6 linked regions of the Nothobranchius furzeri genome follow. The protein of the gene in region 2 binds, or shares a complex with, the protein of the main gene of each other region. Links are inferred from orthologs where the notes say so. Each region holds a gene or a part of one and is shown on either strand. Other genes may lie near its edges. The genes, in order: piga, pigh, pigp, phosphatidylinositol N-acetylglucosaminyltransferase subunit Y, pigq and dpm2.

Evidence for each region.
Region 1: pigh (region 2) and piga share a complex: the UniProt entries of both Homo sapiens proteins name them as parts of the glycosylphosphatidylinositol-N-acetylglucosaminyltransferase (GPI-GnT) complex. The link is inferred for Nothobranchius furzeri from reciprocal best matches to the Homo sapiens genes PIGH and PIGA.
Region 3: pigh (region 2) and pigp share a complex: the UniProt entries of both Homo sapiens proteins name them as parts of the glycosylphosphatidylinositol-N-acetylglucosaminyltransferase (GPI-GnT) complex. The link is inferred for Nothobranchius furzeri from reciprocal best matches to the Homo sapiens genes PIGH and PIGP.
Region 4: pigh (region 2) and phosphatidylinositol N-acetylglucosaminyltransferase subunit Y share a complex: the UniProt entries of both Homo sapiens proteins name them as parts of the glycosylphosphatidylinositol-N-acetylglucosaminyltransferase (GPI-GnT) complex. The link is inferred for Nothobranchius furzeri from reciprocal best matches to the Homo sapiens genes PIGH and PIGY.
Region 5: pigh (region 2) and pigq share a complex: the UniProt entries of both Homo sapiens proteins name them as parts of the glycosylphosphatidylinositol-N-acetylglucosaminyltransferase (GPI-GnT) complex. The link is inferred for Nothobranchius furzeri from reciprocal best matches to the Homo sapiens genes PIGH and PIGQ.
Region 6: pigh (region 2) and dpm2 share a complex: the UniProt entries of both Homo sapiens proteins name them as parts of the glycosylphosphatidylinositol-N-acetylglucosaminyltransferase (GPI-GnT) complex. The link is inferred for Nothobranchius furzeri from reciprocal best matches to the Homo sapiens genes PIGH and DPM2.

The regions. Positions count from the first base shown.
Region 1 is NC_091754.1:25,454,401-25,457,900, reverse strand, and holds the end of piga (phosphatidylinositol N-acetylglucosaminyltransferase subunit A), read right to left. Parts: intron 1,202-3,500; coding exon 995-1,201; intron 923-994; coding exon 686-922; 3' UTR 479-685; downstream 1-478. UniProt on the Homo sapiens protein: Catalytic subunit of the glycosylphosphatidylinositol-N-acetylglucosaminyltransferase (GPI-GnT) complex that catalyzes the transfer of N-acetylglucosamine from UDP-N-acetylglucosamine to phosphatidylinositol and participates in the first step of GPI biosynthesis.
Region 2 is NC_091742.1:25,590,636-25,594,306, forward strand, and holds pigh (phosphatidylinositol N-acetylglucosaminyltransferase subunit H), read right to left. Parts: upstream 2,479-3,671; 5' UTR 2,224-2,478; coding exon 2,047-2,223; intron 1,286-2,046; coding exon 1,076-1,285; intron 1,008-1,075; coding exon 924-1,007; intron 823-923; coding exon 748-822; 3' UTR 501-747; downstream 1-500. Other genes in the region: zfyve1 (zinc finger FYVE domain-containing protein 1), read left to right, coding at 3,602-3,671. UniProt on the Homo sapiens protein: Part of the glycosylphosphatidylinositol-N-acetylglucosaminyltransferase (GPI-GnT) complex that catalyzes the transfer of N-acetylglucosamine from UDP-N-acetylglucosamine to phosphatidylinositol and participates in the first step of GPI biosynthesis.
Region 3 is NC_091756.1:33,916,769-33,920,615, reverse strand, and holds pigp (phosphatidylinositol N-acetylglucosaminyltransferase subunit P), read right to left. Parts: upstream 2,526-3,847; 5' UTR 2,357-2,525; intron 2,273-2,356; 5' UTR 2,270-2,272; coding exon 2,188-2,269; intron 1,432-2,187; coding exon 1,359-1,431; intron 1,272-1,358; coding exon 1,153-1,271; intron 1,045-1,152; coding exon 929-1,044; 3' UTR 501-928; downstream 1-500. Other genes in the region: rexo4 (RNA exonuclease 4), read left to right, coding at 2,966-3,163, 3,237-3,541, 3,625-3,771. UniProt on the Homo sapiens protein: Part of the glycosylphosphatidylinositol-N-acetylglucosaminyltransferase (GPI-GnT) complex that catalyzes the transfer of N-acetylglucosamine from UDP-N-acetylglucosamine to phosphatidylinositol and participates in the first step of GPI biosynthesis.
Region 4 is NC_091744.1:85,184,409-85,186,682, forward strand, and holds phosphatidylinositol N-acetylglucosaminyltransferase subunit Y, read right to left. Parts: upstream 1,010-2,274; coding exon 797-1,009; 3' UTR 501-796; downstream 1-500. Other genes in the region: triadin, read left to right, coding at 127-261; pyurf (protein preY, mitochondrial), read right to left, coding at 1,102-1,243. UniProt on the Homo sapiens protein: Part of the glycosylphosphatidylinositol-N-acetylglucosaminyltransferase (GPI-GnT) complex that catalyzes the transfer of N-acetylglucosamine from UDP-N-acetylglucosamine to phosphatidylinositol and participates in the first step of GPI biosynthesis.
Region 5 is NC_091745.1:17,739,454-17,743,538, reverse strand, and holds the start of pigq (phosphatidylinositol N-acetylglucosaminyltransferase subunit Q), read right to left. Parts: upstream 2,801-4,085; 5' UTR 2,668-2,800; intron 1,777-2,667; exon of another isoform or gene 1,649-1,776; intron 599-1,648; 5' UTR 586-598; coding exon 433-585; intron 226-432; coding exon 3-225; intron 1-2. Other genes in the region: protein-lysine N-methyltransferase EEF2KMT, read left to right, coding at 3,223-3,324, 3,438-3,488, 3,565-3,645. UniProt on the Homo sapiens protein: Part of the glycosylphosphatidylinositol-N-acetylglucosaminyltransferase (GPI-GnT) complex that catalyzes the transfer of N-acetylglucosamine from UDP-N-acetylglucosamine to phosphatidylinositol and participates in the first step of GPI biosynthesis.
Region 6 is NC_091746.1:70,780,029-70,782,254, forward strand, and holds the end of dpm2 (dolichol phosphate-mannose biosynthesis regulatory protein), read right to left. Parts: intron 1,557-2,226; coding exon 1,467-1,556; intron 1,340-1,466; coding exon 1,237-1,339; intron 1,117-1,236; coding exon 1,061-1,116; 3' UTR 501-1,060; downstream 1-500. UniProt on the Homo sapiens protein: Regulates the biosynthesis of dolichol phosphate-mannose. Regulatory subunit of the dolichol-phosphate mannose (DPM) synthase complex; essential for the ER localization and stable expression of DPM1.

The sequences.
Region 1 (3,500 bases), on a different chromosome or scaffold from region 2:
CCACCACAACTGGCTCTTCTCAACGTGGAGGAGCAGCGGCTCTACTCCGAGCCCCTCCTGGATGACCAAGCTTCTCACTCTTTCTCTCAGTTGGTTTTTACAAAGCAATGCCGTCAATTTGCCGCTAAGGTGCAATAAGACAGACAATTACAGCAATATTACTACCAAGGAGATGGAAGGAATGCTGCAAAATTTGCGCATCGCCATGCCAGAACTGTGCGCCTTGTAAAAAGGGCTTGTGGGAGAGCCCAGCCACCCAGCGGAGAAATCTAATTTCTGCCGCTTGTATCCGCGATCTCGTTCTTTCGGTCACCACTCAAAGCTTGTGACCATATGTGAGGGTTGGAACATAGACTGACAGGAAAATCAAGAGCTTTCCAAAAATAAATATAAACGTGTGCTCTAACAAATAATTTATCAAACCAACTGTTATTTTATTAGACGTGATTAAGAGCAGATGCTGCTGCTTTATTGTAACCAGTGTTTTCACTGCTTTAGTTCAGAGCAGCAGGGAGTGTAAGAAAAAATAAAAAGTGCTTATTAACTACCGAGAAGAGCCTCCACACAAAGTTCCCTTTGTTTAGAAAAATGTAAACGTTGAGCATTTGATCGAGTACAGACAGCATTTAAACAGTCTGATGGCCGAAGGAGAGATGGGTTTTCTCGTTTTGTGGCAAGTTTGGAATCAGTCAAACTTTTTCCTGCTTGTTTTCTGTCTCCACAGTCCATGAGGGCCGGTGGCATCAACAGCCACGTCCATGAACCGATCTGGCAACAACCACTGCAGAAGCAGCAGGAAGAGGAAGTCCAGCATGGCAACAAAGGCAAAGATGGATCCAGCCACGGGGCCACAGTGAGACCGGAGTCTCCGCAACCTCTTGGCCAGAGGGAGGACCTCTTCTCCAACTACTTTATCATACACCTGGGAGGAAAAACATATGATGATGTCATTACCTACACCAGATATCCTATCATTCAAGTCATCCTCTGGTACCTTTTCTGTCCTCTCTGCGACATTTTTCCAAGTGTAGAGGTTTCTAACACGATTGTGGATTGAAGCCGGTGAGGGGAAAGAATCGGATCGTTGCTTAGCGATGACTTGTTCCAAACCATCACACAGCGACCGCACAGTAGGTTCACACAGGGTTATTAAGTCATCAGGCAACACCTCAGGAATGCCACCGACGCGAGTGCTGACAACCTTCCAGGGAGGATGGAAAAGAGCTGCTCAGAGTTGATAAAACCAACATTCTAATAAGGCAAATCAGAATTATTCCACTACAGCTAAAGATCAGTCTGAATCTGTTTGTTTTAGATAAAACAATGAAGATTTTTAAATTCAGCATCACTATTCCAAAGATATGGAGTGTTTCTGAAAATAAAATCCTTTCTATTAAAAAAAGATGCAGACTTAAACGAATGTGTGAAAGCGGACAGAAAAGAAGCACCCTACAGAAAAGTGTTCAAAAGGCATCAGTTAGTGATCCTGATACACGACAAATCAAAGACTCAAAAACCAGCTGCTTCCTACTTGGAATGCATACCAAAGAAATATTTTACTAATGAGGTTGTTTCACTTCTTTACACTTTCACATGTGACTAGATTTAGTTTGCTACTAGTTTATATCTGTTAACGATAAAGTTACACAATTATCATGAATTGTATGAAAGATTTAGGTCTGATTAGTTTATTGTTACACAGAAAGTAAAACCTAAGTAAGAGATGTAAAAGAGATCAAACTTTTGCTTGTGTGTAAGCTCAACCAACTGGAAACAGGAGCAGACACTTTCCATGAATCAGTGAGAAAACACTGCGTGGGGGCCAAACAAGCTATCTGATACCTTGCAAGAATTTACCTTAACCCTTAGAGGTCCCTCGTGCATTTTGTTGCGCAGGCAGTCATGTATTTTTGAATAACTTTGGCTGTGTTGATGAAATTCTTTTTATTTTTATTTTGCTCCGGAGTGTGTTTTTGGGTACGTTTACTAAAAATAAAATGTGTTTTCATAATTTATGTGACTGTGTTTTTTTCAGTTTTCATTAGAAAAATCAGTTCTCACCCAAAGTCTAATATCAGTGCAAAATCCTACACAACAGATGTATATGTGCTTTTTCTGTGTGATTCTGCACACTTACATACATGCACTTATGACTCAATGCAATCGACAAATGACCAGAGGAAAGATTTTTTCATGCTTTGGTGGGTGGTGGAGGTTGGAGCTTTTTTCTGTGTGAGGGACCTGGATGTGAGTTTTTCTGAATATCTGACACCATACAAAAGAGACAGATAAAACAAAAAATATTTTTTTGCTCATTTGTGACTCTCTAGAGCCCTCACAATTCACCCCCTAAAGAAGTCCTCTGGACATAACACACGAGAAATGATTTAGGTTTTTTGACAAAATATGGCCCTCTCCCTGGGCTGCCACCTTACCGTGGTGGAGGGGTTTGAGTGTCTCAATGATCCTAGGAGCTAAGTTGTCTGAGGCTTTCTGCCTCTGGTGTCACCCATGGCAAACAGGTCCTAGGTGATGGATCAGACAAAGAGCAGCCCGAAGACCTCTTATGATGAATTATATAAATGGAAACCGTGTTCCCTCGCCCGGACGTGGGTCACTGGGGCCCCCCTCTGGAGCCAGGCCTGGAGGTGGGGCACGCTGGCGAGCGCCTGGTGGCCGGGCTTTCACCCATGGAACCTGACCGGGCACAGCCCAAAGAGGAAACGTGGGTCCCCCTTCCCATGGGCTCACCACTCGTGGGAGGGGCCAAAGGGGTCGGGTGCAGTGTGTGACGGGTGGTAGTCAAGGGAGGGGACCTTGGCAGTCTGATCCTCGGCTATAGAAGCTGGCTCTTGGCACATGGAATGTCACCTCTCTGGTGGGGAAGGAGCCTGAGTTGGTGTGTGAGGCTGAGAGGTTCCGACTAGATATAGTCTGACTCACCTCAACACATGACTCTGGCTCTGGCTCTGGAACCAGTTTCCTTGAGAGGGGTTGGACTTTCTACCACTCTGGAGTTGCTCCCACTGAGAGGTGCCGAGCAGGGATGGACATACTAGTTGCCCCCCATCGTGGTGCCTGTACGTTGGGGTTTAACCCGGTGAATGAGAGGGTAGCCTCCCTCTGCCTACGTGTGGGGGGACGGGTTCTGACTGTGGTCTGTGCTTATGCACCAAACTACAGTTCAGACTACACACCCATTTTGGAGTCCTTGGAGGGGGTGCTGGAAAGCGCTCCTTCCGGTGACTCCCTCGTTCTGCTGGGGGACTTTAAGGCTCACGTGGGCAACAACAGTGAGACCTGGAGAAGTGTGGTTGGGAGGAACGGCCCCCTGATCTGAATTCGAGGGGTGTTTTGTTTTTGGACTTCTGTGCCAGTCATGGATTGTCCATAATGAACACCATGTTCAGACATAAAGGTGTCCCTATGTGCTCTTGGCACCTGGATACCTTAGACCGCAGCTCGATGATCGGCTTTGTTGTTGTTTCATCTGACCTGCG
Region 2 (3,671 bases):
TTTAACACTAACAAGGAAAACATCCAACCTCTAAAGAATGAAGGTGCGTGATTTATGAGCGAGTATTTTAAGGTACATTCATATAATGTCTAATAATTTACATAAAAAATTCATAAACACAAGGTAAAAAATATCCACATAAATCTTTAAGTTCTTTGTGTAATCCAAGCTAATAAAACCAGAATGGTTGATGTACTAATCAAGACTGTAACAAACACCAACTAAAACAAGCTGCATAAGCATAAAGAGTCTTTCTGGGAACTAACATGAAACTAGTGATGGTTCCTGTTTTAAAATGTAGTTCTGCCCTCTACTGGTAAAACAGGGAGTGATCAACAAACAAGAAAACAGGAACTTGATTCAATTATGTTTAAATTACTTCTTAAAACACAAAGAAATGCATCATTATAAACAAAACAGCTCCCTCTACTTGGTTTATTCTAACCATTAATCCCAAAATAATGAAAAGTTTAATTATATCAATGGAAAATTAGATTAGCAATAAAGGTCAGTGCTGATATAAAAATCATAAACACGACAAAGAAAAACAATTAAACTGTGAAACTAATCTTCAAAATTTGGCAAAAGATCACAATCACCTCACATGAATTTATTCATGAAGGTGGAAAACTAGGAAAAAATTACAAACAATGAAGAAATCATTGTTTTGCTTTCATGCGTTATAGAGAATTGGCTAATTTTCCTAAAACACATCACCTAGGCTTGTTATTATTTCAATCTGGAGGGTTATTGGCACGTTGAAAGAATCTCCTGGCAGCTTTTGTAAACTTTCACCAAGCAGCCGAGACGAGGTTTTGAGCTCTGAAAGTTAAAAAAGGGACATTCATCAGAGGTTTTCTTTGTGTGTGTGTGTGTGTGTGTTATAGAAGAAAGATGAAGAAAAAACTGACTTTGACGCTCACCTGAAACAACGGCACAACACTTGACACTTCATTAGGCTCGAAAGGCTCCTTCAACAGCACACACAGGTAATAGATGATCTGATGCTGAAATAAAAGCATTTCATTTTAATACAAGTCTCCCTGAAAACTTATATTTACATCTGCTTACACACCATGTAAATAGCTTCATTGATGACAATATCTTTGATCTTGCTCATCTCAATGAAAGTGGTGACCTCGCGACCTGAGGCGTAGCTGGAGGACACCTGGATGCCCAAGGAGCCGATCACCAGAAGAGACTCGTGGTCTACCTTCACAAAATGGATGTGAAGCATCATCCCAACGAGGGTGATGAGGATAGCACTGGAGAGAACCGCTGTGTTCTAAAAGAGAGAGGAAACGATTGCATGCAGATTTTAGAGAAAATGCACTGATTGTGGATATGGATGCTGATACCATTTGTGTGAAATATTGGTTAGTAAAGGTGAGTTTAATGACCAGAATTTTTTTTTTAAAGATTTTTCTATTTCTATTTGTCAATGGTGCATTCACAGACTTGGCAAATAAAGAAAAAAAATTTAGATTCAGACTCATTGATTACTGGTTAAGCTGATCATGCTATATATGCCAGAATTAGCTGACTTTTTTTTTTTGTGGATTTAAATCATTAAAACAATAAAATAAACAGAGTATTAAGATCATAAACTTACACTACTGTCTACAAAAATAGCATTTATAAAATGTTATAAAATTACTTAAAAGCATATTTTGATATGAGAACTGAGAACCTCACCAAATTTTGATTTTTTGTTTTATTGTCTTTGACTAAATCTCGAATATTTGACATCTCCCCAGAGAGCATTTTAATATTATAGTAAATGATAAAAAGCACAGTGGTCTCGAGTCATGGTCCTCAAGAGCCACCGATCTGCAGGTTAGAGGTTTCTCTGCTTCAACACAACAGATTGTTAACAGTAGGGATTGCATCATAGTTCTGCAGAGCTTGAGCGCCTACTGAACATGTAATGTAACCACTGGATCACGTGTTGGAACAGGGAAACTACTAAAACATGCAGGGTAGTGGCCATCGAGGACAAGGACCGGACACCAGTGATTTAAAGGAACCTGAAATACCTTGTCTTACCTGTGTGAAGAAGAACACAGCATAAGCTAACAGCCACACAGAGCAGGTGTAGACCATCACCTTCCCAATGGACACCTTGGGAGAGCTAACAGTAAACTCCCTGCAAAAGCTGGAGTGACTATGGCAGTCCAGAGTAATTGGTTTGCCATTTATGTCTGTGAAGGCTTCTTCCTCCATTGTGTAAAGCCCAAATGTAGAGTATGAAGGAGAAAAGCTAGCACTTAGCTAGTGCTAGCAGCTAGGTGACCTAGTCAGAATTAGCAGTGAGCTAACGCCTTCTGTTATAAATATTATTTTGCTACGCAATATAAGGGCAGACGTGAACAAAAAACTGAGAAAAAAACACAAGCAACTTTTGTTTAACCAAAAAATAAAAATCCCTAAGCTACTGAATCACCTAGCTCCACCTCTGATGCATTGTTTTAGACACCTGGACGTCCCGAGTACAAGTTGTGCTTAAACAATAGAGCTGATAAACAAAGAAACGTCTGCATTTCAGCAACCATATACATTTCAATACTATCAATACACATTAACATTTATAGTATGTCATGGATCATTAATATGATTTTAACCAGATCGTTTCAAAATCAACACTTGTCTCGGCGTGCACCGGTGGCAATACAAGCGATCGTAAAAGCAGCTGGAAGACGCAAAGCATTGTGGGTACTGGCCGTAATGCGTAAACTCTTCATCTTTATTCGTTTGAGTCGTTTTGTATCTTTTATTAAAATTTATTTAACTGTATAACAGAAATTCAAGTGTTTTAGCATTTTTATAAATAAAATAGATATCCACAGATTTTAATGTGTACAAGAAGAGCCAGGACAACGGACTTCATTTCCCACCATGCATTGCGTTTCAATGGCTTTTGACCTCTGGGTAAAAACAAGCCGATCAGCTGCAACAACATCTCTGACGAGATGCTGATACAACAGCTTTGCTCAGCCGGCTGGTTAGCTATGTGGCGGTTGGTAAAATGGTCCTAGATTATAATTCCTGGGGTTAGGTCTCGTCGGGACATCGTTTTTAGAAAAAAAAAATCGTCTGTTGGACGGGAAGCCACCGTTAGGTAGGTCAGTGGACTAAAAATACTACTTGTTATGTTTGAACCGTGTCTCTTTGTGTAGTAGCGAGTCTTAGCTAGGCTGTTTACTGGCTGATGTGGGGAAAGTTGGACACTCTTGTCGAGCTTGGAGAGCTGTAATTAGACACTCAACACCGTCTGGTTGTGTTGCAACATGTCCAAAACAAACAAACAACTCCCTCCATATAAATAAACAAAAGAGAAATGATTGAGGGAGGTGTATCCAAAGCTGCCAGTGCTACCTAACTTTGTTTTATGCCAAAATGACAAAAATGGCATTACTAGCCTTTGTGTTTGTCAACATTATTGTTGTTGTTGTTGTGAAATCAAAGGGTCTGAGCCTTACGTTGATGACATTGTTAGTATTGAAGAGATGACATCTCCTCTTATTTAGTGGTCCAACTAAATGTCCATTTCCACACAGGCCGTCCAGATTTATTATCAGATTTGTGACTTTCCAGGTTTAACATGAGTGGTCAGAGTCCAGCAGTGGACAAAGGGATGAACACGGTCCTCGTCTGCCAGGAGAGCTACGCCT
Region 3 (3,847 bases), on a different chromosome or scaffold from region 2:
TCATGCCCAATAGTTATTTTTAGCAGCTTTAAGAGCCTCTCAAGTCCCACACTCAGTAACCCATCTCTGCAGTTACTCACTAAAAAAAGTGGCTTAAACGCAAGAAAATTTCATTTACACATACAGGTGAAATTTGAAAAGTTTGAAAATCGTGCAAAAGTTCATTTAATTCAATAAACAATAAAGGGGCTCAAACCAAATACTGAGTACACAGGTATGATTATACTTTTTCAAAGGTCTGACATTTCTCTATTTAAAATCCTTGTTTTATTGATATGATGTAATATTCTAATTGTCTGAGATTTTTCATACGCTGCAAGCCATAACCATTACAATTATAACAGATAAAGGCTTAAAATATCTGGCTTTGCATGTAATGAGTGTCTCATATAGTAGTTTTATCTTTTAAGATGAATTATTGAAAACTTGCACCGTTTGTAATTTATCACGTTTCACCTGTCTAAATTACACCTTACAATAAAGCTCAGAAGAGATTTACATGCCTTGTTTCTCTGTCAGGAAACTTTACTTCATTTTTTACAATTTAAACTTCACCGTTTCTCACAAACGAAGATATTTTATACAGTTTCAGTTATGCTTTAGATCATCAGTGTAACAACCAGTCATAATAACACAAAGTTATTTACTGTTGCTCTTTTGACTCTTGTTTCCCCATCAAGTCATCCCAGCAGGTAAACTGAGCTTTAAAATGATCTTTTTTCTACATTTATATTTACTAAATGATAAATATAACATCTGTGATTGTTTCATGAAACTGAAAATAATCAAAAGGTTAGACGGGTATTGTAAAATAGTTGTGAGGCTATTTTTGAAGAACAAATCATATATTACACATTTAACAGTTTTTTAAAACACAAACCAGGTAAAACACAGATAGTTTTACTCTGCCAACAACTCAGTTTATCAATTATGTTTCAGGGGACAAATAAAACATTCTGTTGACCTCACTAACGGACACATCTTTAAGTCGAGGAACTCCGCCTTTGCAGTCGCTGTCGGCCCTCTGGCCTTGTGCGAATACATCTGTAACACAAAAACAAGACAAAATGTACACTAAATATTTAGTTTTTAAACTGCTATTTGACACTTATTCCTTTCATAGATAACAGCTGGGATGCTATCAGACCTCACCTGTGATGTTGTCCACAGAGTCCAGTGGAGCAGTGTTGGTCATGTTTATCCCAAACAACACCAAAAATGACACCGATATTGCAACCAGCAGGTAGATTGGCATTGCAAGAGCCCAGTATCTGTGCAGAACAGGGAGTTTTTGTTAGAAATCCCAAATGCCAAATGTCGGTGGGAAATCTGATCTGGATTTTAAAGGTGATGCAGACTTTTGAGGCCAGTATGTGAGTCCAATTGAATGCAGCCACTCCTCTGGTATAAATGCCCACAAGCAGTACAGAACTGTGGAGAGGGAGGAGAAATATAGTTATTATTTATCTTCAGTCCCTTAAATCACAATTACTCAGTGAGTTGGGAAACTATAGCTAGCATTTGACTTTAAAGAGACTGCAGGCACTGATTTATGTCAGCAGGTCATGATGTGCATTGAGGAATAAAACATACGAGAAGCTAAATTATCATAATAAATAGCCTTTCTTCTAATAGAAATAATCTAACCTCACATTCAAATGTGTGATTAGGAGTTTAATCAAATAACATTTCTTTAAACAGTCGAACATTTGTTTAAATTGAACACGGACACTAAATAATTAAACTTAAACATGGTCAATCAGTCATATGATGGCTGCCATAAAGGTAGAAAAGAGCTGCCACAAAAGCAGAGATGTCCAAACAAATAGAACTGTTTTTGTTTTAGGGGCATTGCTGCTTGGACGCTAACCCTGACACCACACATGGGAGTTGTGAAAAAAAATTAACAAAGGTGTATCCTTTAAAGTGTTGAGATCACCGCTGTGTTTTGTCTTCCATCTTTACTTGTGTCAGCTTTTAAAAACACAAGACAAACGTAAGATTGTGTATTAGCTAGGATGAATATAAAAAATAAAACAAAACACTACAGACACATTTACAGGTAAACATAAAGATCATTTACTTCTGATTTTATACAGGAAGAACAGTCTTGACCTGTCACCTAAAAGATGCGTTCTAGTGTGTGTGTGTGTGCAAAACAGAATAAAATAATTATTTTTGACTTACAGAAACCAAACTGTGAGCCAAGGAAGAGAACAAACCCATAAATAGCTCTCTCGGGGACAGGAGACGGAGAGTTTTCAACCATGATCTGAAACCAAACAGGAAGCAGAGGAAATAAGCAAGCAACACAAACCAGAGTCTAAAACATCCTTAAATACTTCTGTCATCTTACCTCAGTTCATAAAATTTCCGAATTTTCACAACATTTGTGCCCCTACGTTTCTAAATAACGAGTAAATAAAGCTGGATTTCTAAAATAATACTAACAGGAAACATTTCCAACAAAACCTAAGAACAGCTGCGAGTTTGCACCAGCGTTAGTTCGGTCGGAAAAATTTCCCGGGTAAGCAGTTCCGCTTTTGATACACTAGACAAAAATATGACATCAAATTAAATTGTTTGAAGATTTACTAATTTATATGATTTAGTACATATTTACAGAAAATAAACATTTGAATATTAGAGTGCTTTCAAACTATGTAGAACGTTTCATACTGGGATGTCTTGTTCATATCGGACCCATTTGGCTGTTGCTCAGCCGGGAAAACGAACGCAGCATGGCTTCGGAATTTGCGAACTGAACGCAGAACCACGTTTATCTGCTGTTCTGTAAAAAATGAGCTGCTTGTTTACGTTAGTGTTTTATTTTTGATGCAGATTTTTGGTAAGGAGACATTACTTTAAGTGACAGCGGTAACAGCCATTGTCTATTGTTTTTGAAATGTCAGCATGGCTGACAACGTTTAGTTTAACAACTTCTTGTTAAAAAACACTTTCCATAATGTCTAAGGCGAAGAAGAAGAAAGCACATTCTGACCCTAAATCCACAGCTAAAGTTAAGAGGAAGGAGTTTTGGATAAAACACAACTCGAAAAACAAATTTCAGAAGATTTCAGCTCCTCAGAAGCACCAACCTCACCTGCCTACACCTCCAGAGGAGGCTCAGCAGTTCTCCTCTAACTGGAAAGCTCTCCAAGAGGTTTGTCTGTGCATCAGTGTGATGCTGGTGTGTATTTACAAAGTTAATCTGATTTTTCTGAAACCTTCCACAGATGCTAAATGCCAGTAAGCCAGAGAAGAAGCTCCCTGTGTCACCCAAACAGAATGTCTTTCCAAAGAAAACTTTAAAAAATATTCCCAAGACTCCCAGTGAAAAAGACAATGAGACTAAAGTCAAGCACACAGTTGCTCCTAAATTTGCCATTCAAAAGGAATCAGAGGTGAACTCTGATGTTCCAGCTGCCTCCAACACTCCGCAGCCAGCTGCTCCTAAAAGGAAACGGGACAAAGGAAAGTCCAACAGCGAGCAGAAAGCCAAGAGGAATAAACCAGTGGTAGAGGAGAGGAAGCCTACAGAGTGTGTACACCGTACTGATTTTAGAAGACATTGTGGACCAGAGTAGTTTTGTATTCCTAACTCTTTATTGTGTTTTGTTGCAGGGACGATCTTTGGTTCGATGATGTAGATCCTGATGATGCTGAGGAGACGTTGGGAGCAGAAGCTGCAGAGATCCTGAGGAGGAAACAGGGCAAACACCAGAGCAAAGACACAGAGAGCATGCTGGTGAAGGAGAAGTGTTTTGAGGGGTGAGTAGCTGTAAAAACAAGCTTCCTCTAGTGTGAACGCTGGACAGGACTTTATTTCCAGGATATGACTGACCAC
Region 4 (2,274 bases), on a different chromosome or scaffold from region 2:
CTAAAGGGTCCGAGTTGGACAGCCCTGAATCATATGCTACGTATCACAAACCTCTCATGCTTTTATCAGACTGTGGTTCTTTTTACAAGTGTCACTGTTTAACAGAGAGCCTCCCCCCCCCCCCAGGTCGGAGCGGTCCAGCTGAGACTAAACAAACCCTTCTTCTTCAAGACAAAAGGAGAATGGCAGTCGCCTCGGCCGGAGTCTCCGCTGACCAAATTTTCTCAGGGCAGAAACCCTAAAAGCAAAAAGTGTCACTAAGGAAGGACGTGAACGTACGATGAAAGCTGTTCTTGTTTGTTTCGGAGCATTTTGGGTCAAAGGCTTAAAAGTTCGAGCTTTTTTAAAACTTGTTTTGTTTTGCATGAAAAGATGATAGTTTGTGTTTGAAGTACAGGCATGTTTGCTGGATTGTTCCTCCCTGAAGTACGTTCACATTTCATAAAACAGACATTAAATAGCTGTTCTGTGTGAAAATGTTTTTATCAAATAAAAGTAACTTATTCCAATAAAGTTGTTTATTCTTTTCTGCAAGAACTGGAAAAATCCAAGAAGTTCAGTTGTTAAATCGGTTACATTTATCCATTTTATAACAGGAGTTTGTTCAGTAGCAGTTAGCGTTTACACGGACTCGGTTACTATGAGTCCTACCTGCAAGCCTAAACTTCCAGACAAGTAAAACCCAAGTCTAGCAGACTTTAACAGACATGAAATAAAGAAAATAATGTTACTGAAGTTGGTAAAGGAGGTAAAAGTGCATCAGAAAACATGCCGTGGGTTGTTTTCAGAGAGCATCCTAGTTGTGTCTGAAGAGCTTGATCCCCATCCAGCTCCAGAGATGGAAGAAGACGTAGACGGGGATGGTGACCGGCAGCAGCAGGCTGTAGAAGCACAGACTGTTGCCGCTGGTGCAGCCTTGAGGGAAGTTCTCATCCACGGCTGCAGAGTAGAACAAGCCAATGAGTGACACGATGGGGACCAGTCCCACCATCACGGACAAGGAGAGCATTCTAGCAGATTAGCTTTACAGTTTTTTTCTTTAAAAAAATAGCAGTGCTCAATCGGTTTTCTGGCAAATGAAGGTCTTTGATAGACTTTCTGTTACTGTGCAGGTGGATTAGAAGCGTCTGTGTCCTTCTGAAGGAGTCTGGCCTCCTGGGGGATCATGTTGGGGATGCCGTCGATGATGGGATAGGCGATGCCAAGCTCCTCATTGATCAGCTCGTTGGTATTGGCATCATACCTAGAGGAAAGAAAAAGAACATCAGTTATCTGGAAAACAGATTAGACTGTTTTATGCGTTGGTTCAGTCATTTCTAATAATGAATGCCTAGGTCGCAGGTCGATGATAGACTTTGAAGTCGTATCATCCGACCTGCGGCCGTGTGTTTTGGACACCAGAGTGAAGAGAGGAGCGGAGCTGTCAACTGATCACCACCTGGTGGGGAGTTAGATCAGATGGCAGGGGAAGATGTCGCGTAGACCTGGCAGACCCAAACGCATAGTGAGGGTCTGCTGGGAACGCCTGGCAGAAGAACCTGTCAAGACGGTCTTCAACTCCCACCTCCGGCAGAGCTTTGACCGCGTCCCGAGACCAGTGGGGGACATTGACTCCGAGTGGGCCTTGTTCCACTCTGCGATTGTTAAGGCGGCTGTTGCTAGCTGTGGTCGCAAGGTGGCCGGAGCCAGTCGTGGTGTGGAGTGTGTCGAGTTTGGAGGCAGGAGAATCTCGTCTCTGCTTTTTGCGGATGATGTGGTCCTCCTAGCTTCATCCAGCTCTGACCTTCAGCTCTCGCTGGGTAGGTTCTTGCTGCCCCCGCGACCCGGATAAGCGGAGGAAGACAACGACGGTGTGTGTGTGTGTGTGTGTGTGTGTGTGTGTGTGGGGGGGGGGGGGGGGTAGATTTCACCTTTACACTGCCTCTAATGCAGCTTTGACTAATTCTTAAGTAGGATGTATTCAAACATAGTACATCCTTGTTTAATTGATGTAAACGCCCAAAACAATTTCCCAATGATGTTACTAAGCCAGTGAAAGAAATCCCTTAATTTTTGATAAAAATCCTAATAAAAAAGATCAGTTAGTATGAAAGGTGTTAAAAACTGCTGTGTCTCAATGGTCTGGCTTAGTTAGCAACACCATTTAGGAATGGTTTTGGGTATTAAAATCAATTAACCTGGCAGCTTTTGAAAGAAATCACTTCATTTTTTATTTAAATCCTAAAAATAATGATCAGATCTTGCGAAATGTGCTAAAAGCTGCAGTGTCGCTGA
Region 5 (4,085 bases), on a different chromosome or scaffold from region 2:
ACATAAAAAAATGAAGGTGAGTAGGTTGAGTTTCTCACTCTGATCGCGGCTGAGCACCTCACAGGTGAAGCCTGTCTTTCCCATCTGACGACTGATCTGGAGCCAACGTTCCTGAGGGAAGATGGTGCTCAGGTCCCTCAGGAAGCTCTCCAATCCCTCTTGACCTTCTTTGGGTAAACTCCAGGAGCCAAGGACAGACAGCTCCACCCCGCTCTGAGCCTGCATCTGGGAGGAGATGAGAGAGGAAAGATTTGAGAGAGATTTAATTTGTTGCCAATTTAAAAACAAGAACACCATCACTTAGTGATAAAACCATTGAAAGTTCACATATTTTCTGCTGTACTAAAGTTTTCTAAATATGCAGAACAGCACAGTTGTTTTGGACCCCCAGTGACGTATGAAGGAAAGTAAGGGCTCTGCTGAGACACAAACCTGCTGGATGTACTGCTTCACCTGTCCAGGGATGAACGGGTAGTGGATGACCGCTAGAACCACAGCCGAGTCATGACCAGCGATCCAGCGGCCCACCAGCAGCCCGCTGTCAGCTCGGTTGCAGCATTGCGGGAAGAAGATCTTCAGCACCATGACTACAGTGGATCTAATGAAACATCAAGTAAAAACAAAATCAGCTTGACGTTTAATATTTACACAATAAAACTACAACTTAAATCTCAGGTTTGGTGTGTTGAAATTTAAAGATTATAGTGTAGTACAGTTCACTGTTTTGTCAACAGGATTAAGATCTGACTGTGAGAAGAAATGTGATCTCACCTGGCTTTTGATAAAGCAGCTGCTAAACTTTATACAGAAGTTATTTTAGATTTATAGATTCAGACGAATGATTTGGTCTCAGATGAGCAACACCAACAGGACAAATCACACTTTGTTGTTTGTTAGTGATTTACCACAAAACTAAACCAAACGTAGAGAAACAATACCAGAAAACTGAAGTGCATCATAGGCCAGCAGGTCATCTCAACAAAGGTTGATGTAGTGATGCAACTCAAAGTCAGATCTTAGGTTCACTTGAAATAAAATAAAATTTAAGTGCAAAAAAACTAATTATGAAAGTCTGGCTGCTTGAAATTAAAATACAGAATTGAGGACTTTGGTTCATCCTCTGTGTTTTATGTCTTTATACCGCTAAATGTAGTTGAGCCGAATGAAATTCAATTACAACGTGAACTGAGGAGACAGACGTGCGTCTACAGAAAAGAGCTGGCGGAGGAAAGACTTTGAGTTGGCCGATTTATACAATGAGTTCGGAGATCTCTGAAACCGGCTGGTCTACTTTTTGCCCTTGAAATATCGAGTCCACCCCGGTTGTTATGGCAACGCAACGAGCCCAGAGCGGAAATGTCATTGATTCCACTGACAATGATTTCGATCCAACAAGTTAGGAACAGCATGGCGATTAACTGTTGATTTAGCAGAGGAATACAAATGAAAATATATTGTAACATCATAAAAACATAAACAACTCACTCCCAAACGATTGAATCGGTCCCAATACGACGAAAAAGCGAGTTTATTTTGTCGACAGTCCGAAAATTCAACAAGGTTCACACCGAACAAACGACTCAACGCGGCCCTGTTTGAACGTCCAACATCATTATAAATGTAAGACAGAAGAGCGGTGCATACTTACCTTTTCTAACACGACTACAAACGTTCACCTTCCATCTGAACCCAAGAGTGAAGTTTCCTACGTTGAAACCATCGGTTGAAACAGCTTTCATTCACGTTGTTTACAGTCCGTCCCTCGAAGTGTTCGGTCAGAAACGCGCGTGAATGTAAGTTCCTATTAGCAACTGCTCTTTAATTAAAATAATAAATAACTAAAACTAAATGTAAAAATCGTTATTTGTGTTTTCATGAGACACCATTAATAATAAACAAGGATGTTTGGATATTTTATAATAAAAAAATAAAAAATTTCAAAATAAAAAACCCGAATCGTGCTGTGATCAGAATTCGATTTACAAATGGTTTGATTTTCGTTCTAAAATAAACAGAAATCATGACAACCGTACTGTCACTGGCAAAAAATAAATAAAAATAAAAATGGCACCACAGATCTGGCACCTCCTGTAAAGGGTGCCAAAAAAATCAACATTTTGCTGTCCTTGTCCCCCTGGTAAAATAAACATTGATGGATGCGTTAAATTATAGTGTTTTAGAAAACGTGTTGAATTAAAAGAGTGAGAAGTACATTTATACAATTGTGTATTGTGTCTTATGTTATACTGCACCAGTGATTCTACACTGTAATAAAGTTATTAGACAATTGACTTGGTGACGGACAGCTGTCTCCCTCTTGCAGCCATTCTCTGACACTTCAACAAACGAGCATTTTAAGTATTCCCTGCAGGACTGCAGAGCCACTACCTGCATGTTTTGTTTTTCTCTACACCAACTCACTTGGTTTTAATCAACGGGTAAATAACGAGCTCATGAAGAACTTGAGACACAAACGACGTTTTCGTGTCTGGGAGTAAGTCAATGTGTTGTTTTGTGGTACATACATCACATATTCGGTTTAAGAAGAAAATTACCAGAACACTAACATCTTCTCTCAGTATATCAAAAATATGATAGAAAACAAAACATCAATAGAGTGAGAGGTGGATCCAACAGACAAAGAAATAAAAGAATGTTGTGGCTCACCAGCTCAGGTCCTGCTGCTGTTCAAGAGTCTTAACTGTAAAGACATTTATCTCCCCCTGCAGTGACATAGCAAGAAAAGCGCGGGAGGAAAACACAGCTGATAAAAGAGCAGTACTACTACTACTACTACTACTACTACTACTACTACTACTACTACTACTACTAATAATAATAATAATAATAATAATAATAATAATAATAATAATAATAATAATAATAATAATAAATTATTCCTGTTTTATTTCAGGTTGTAACTTACCAATTTTTAAGCTGATTGTCTAAAAACCTATTTTAAAGAAATTCAATATTTTATTGATAGGTTTCATTTAAACCATATTGTTGCTATTTGTTGTATTTATGTGTTAATATTGTTCTGAGGTAAAAGCTTTCTCATTTTTATACAGCTGCAGCGACTTATTTTTAAATGTAGTGGTCTGGTTGAGACAAAGAATTAAAAGTTAAACTGCATTACCCAGCTGCACCTGCGGCCATCGACATATGCCTGCGACTAACGGCATTGTGGGTATGCAGGAAGTAAACAAACACACGTGAAAGATGGCGGTTTCAGAGCAGAGAAAGGAGAAAAACGGAGAGGTTTTAATAGAATTTAGGGCGTCGTTTTTTGCTATGAAGCGTCTAACGTCGTTTCCGTGGACTGTGAGTATGAGACAGCACACAAAATCACGCGTGGACGTGTTTAGCTGCTGCAGGAGGAATTCCCTCACGTGAAGTAGCAAATATAAAGCTCAGTTCTGTTTCCTCCACCACAGGTGATAGAGAATGATGAGTTAGCAGAGTTTATTTTAGATCTTCTGAAGCAGGTAAGAGGTATTCAGTCATTATTACCTAACATCCACGATTATCAAGGAATAAACAAATGTGTTATTTGTTTGACAGACGTGTCTTCATCCTTTGTGCAGGAGGTTTCCTCCCTCAGTCAGATACAGAAGGCTGTTTCTGTCTGAACTCATCAAACGGGTCGGTTCCTGCATCACTTTATTTTGATAGTTCAATTCAAAAATACTTTATTAATCTCAGAGGGAAATTGATTGCTGTAGTAGCTCAGAATAATAATAATAATCAAGTCATCAAAGAGTTGTATATTACAATGGCTGTTGGCAGGAAGGATCTCCAGTAGCAGTCAGTGTTGCAGCCAAACTGAAGAAGCCTCTGACTGAAGACACTCTTCCGTTGTCGGACAGTCTTGTGAAGAGAATGCTCAGGGTTGTCCATCATTTTCTTGATTCTCTGGAGAATCCTTCTTTGCATTACCTCCTCCAGCGGTTCCGAAACTGCCGAAACTCTGGCTGAGTCCTTGAAAGGGCTTGGAGTTCCTCCATCTTGTTGGCCAGTGATCTCACATTGCCCATTATGATCGATGGAAGAGATGGTTTGAATTTCTTCTTTCTCTGTCTCCG
Region 6 (2,226 bases), on a different chromosome or scaffold from region 2:
ATGGATGTTCTGGTAATAAACCTGATTCTGTTGAAACTAAATAAAGTTTACTCCAGATCAAAGAGGCGAGCCGCAGATCTTCATCATCATCATCATCACCAGAACTCACCTCAGAACGGACCGCAGCTCGGAGCCGGCTCGGTGGGTTCGGGTCTCTGACTCACATGTCCGCGCGGAGCCTGGTCGCACCACGGACCGGGTCCCACCCGGTGACACGCACGGACCGAACCACCGAAACGGACCGAACCACTTGCAGGAACCGGTTCTGCAACGTCATGCAGTGATGGTGCAGAACGATGAATAGCTGACAACAGTTTGGTCCAGCTGGAGGCTCCGGAAGCTTCTACACCCCCCACCCCCCCACACAGGCACTGATTGGTCAAGCTGAGGCTGAGCCTGGTGCAGGTCCAGATCAGGCCCAGGCCTGGAGGAGATCCTGGTTCCGGGTTCTGAACTCTTTTCTATCATCATCATGTCTGTGAGTTAGAAACGAGCGCAGATCCAAAGCAGAAAACATTTTAGTTTTATTTTAGAAAAACGATCATCCGGGAACTCCAGCTGCAGTAAAACACCAGAACAGCTGGATTTCAGCACTCAGATGTCAGTCGGTCTGCTTTGAGTGAACACATCTGGATGTGAAACGGATTCAAACAGGCTCCATTTAAACATTTACTCTTTCTAAACATTCAAATAAAATCTGGTTAAATCAGGTGAATGTTGACATCATCTAGACATGTGACCTCTGGTTCTCTGCTGCAGCAGGTGTGATCTTATAGAACCGGTCTGGTTCTAGTGAAGTCCTCTGAGACCTGAATAGAACCAAGTCTGAATCTGCAGAACGTTTTCTCCATCGTGTAGTACGAGCTGGGCCACTAGGTGGCGCCAACGCGCTATAAATGACGTCTGAAGCGGAAGGGCATCAAAGGGACATTTCTCTTCTTTGCAGAAGAACATGTTGTTTATAACTGCAGGAAAAAGTCTATTGTGCAGAACAAAAGTATGAGCTGGTGGTTCTGGTGTCGCCGCCAGCAGGAATAACCTTTAAGGGGTTCAATCCTCCTTAGGCCACTTTCTTTGGTTTGTGGTCCTTCCACATGATGAAGGTAGTGAAGGCTCCTGCAGAGGAAGCACAGAGTCATCTCCTCTCATCCACGGAAAACATCAACATCCCATATTCATGCGACAGAAAATAAACAGAATGTTTTAATGAAGAAGTTTATGAGTGAAGATACTGACCAACAAAGAGGACAAAGATTACTGCAGCAACACCTGGTAGGATCACAGAATATTCCCGAGGAAGGAAACATCTGTGCAGGGGGTGATCCGAGTCTACAAAAGGCTGGAAAGTAACACAAAGGTGACCTAATGAAGCTCAAGTCACATGATCAGATACAGAACTCAAGATGAGGACATGGAAGATGTTTCATTTAGAGAAATGTTAGCTGCAAACACCCAACAGAACCCACCAGAACGATGACCCAAACAGTGTAGTAGGAGAACAACAGGAGGCTGAAAACAACGAGACTCATCCCGACCGCCTGATCTGCTCCCGACGCCTGGAAGCACAAATGCAGCCTGGGATCAAGATCCAGCTTCCTGATCATCAACAGGAAGAATCAGAGATAAACAGTGAGGTGTTTGTGTGCGCGCGTGTGTGTGTGTGTGTGTGTGTGTGTGTGTGTGTGTGTGTGTGTGTGTGTGTGTGTGTGTGTGTGTGTGTGTGTGTGTGTGTGTGTGTGTGTGTGTGAATTAAATACAGTCTTATAAAAAGCTGCAGGATCCGGCATCGGTACGGTGGTTCTGGGAATGACTCAAAGTTTATTCTTTTAAGTATTATTTTATTTTTTAATTTTATATCATTTATTTATGTAGTTTATATCTATAAATATATTATCTATTAATATATAATAAATATATTTTAAATAGAAAAAAAGTGTAATCACCCAAAATAAACTACTGAAGGACTGGTGCATTTCTTGGTTTGGCCTAATGTCTTATTTAATCATGTTTCTGATGCCGTTCATTTAAAAACTCCATTCAAACTTTGAACACAAGACTTTAGTTCAAATCTGCTGATTCTTGATTTTGTTTGTTATGAAAATGTAAACAAATTAACCAGAAAGCTCTGATGTGTCACTTCCGTTGTTGTAAATACAATAAATCACAGATATGACATTTATTTTGGTAAACCATAACCCCAAACAAATAAAACAAATAAGGGCTGCA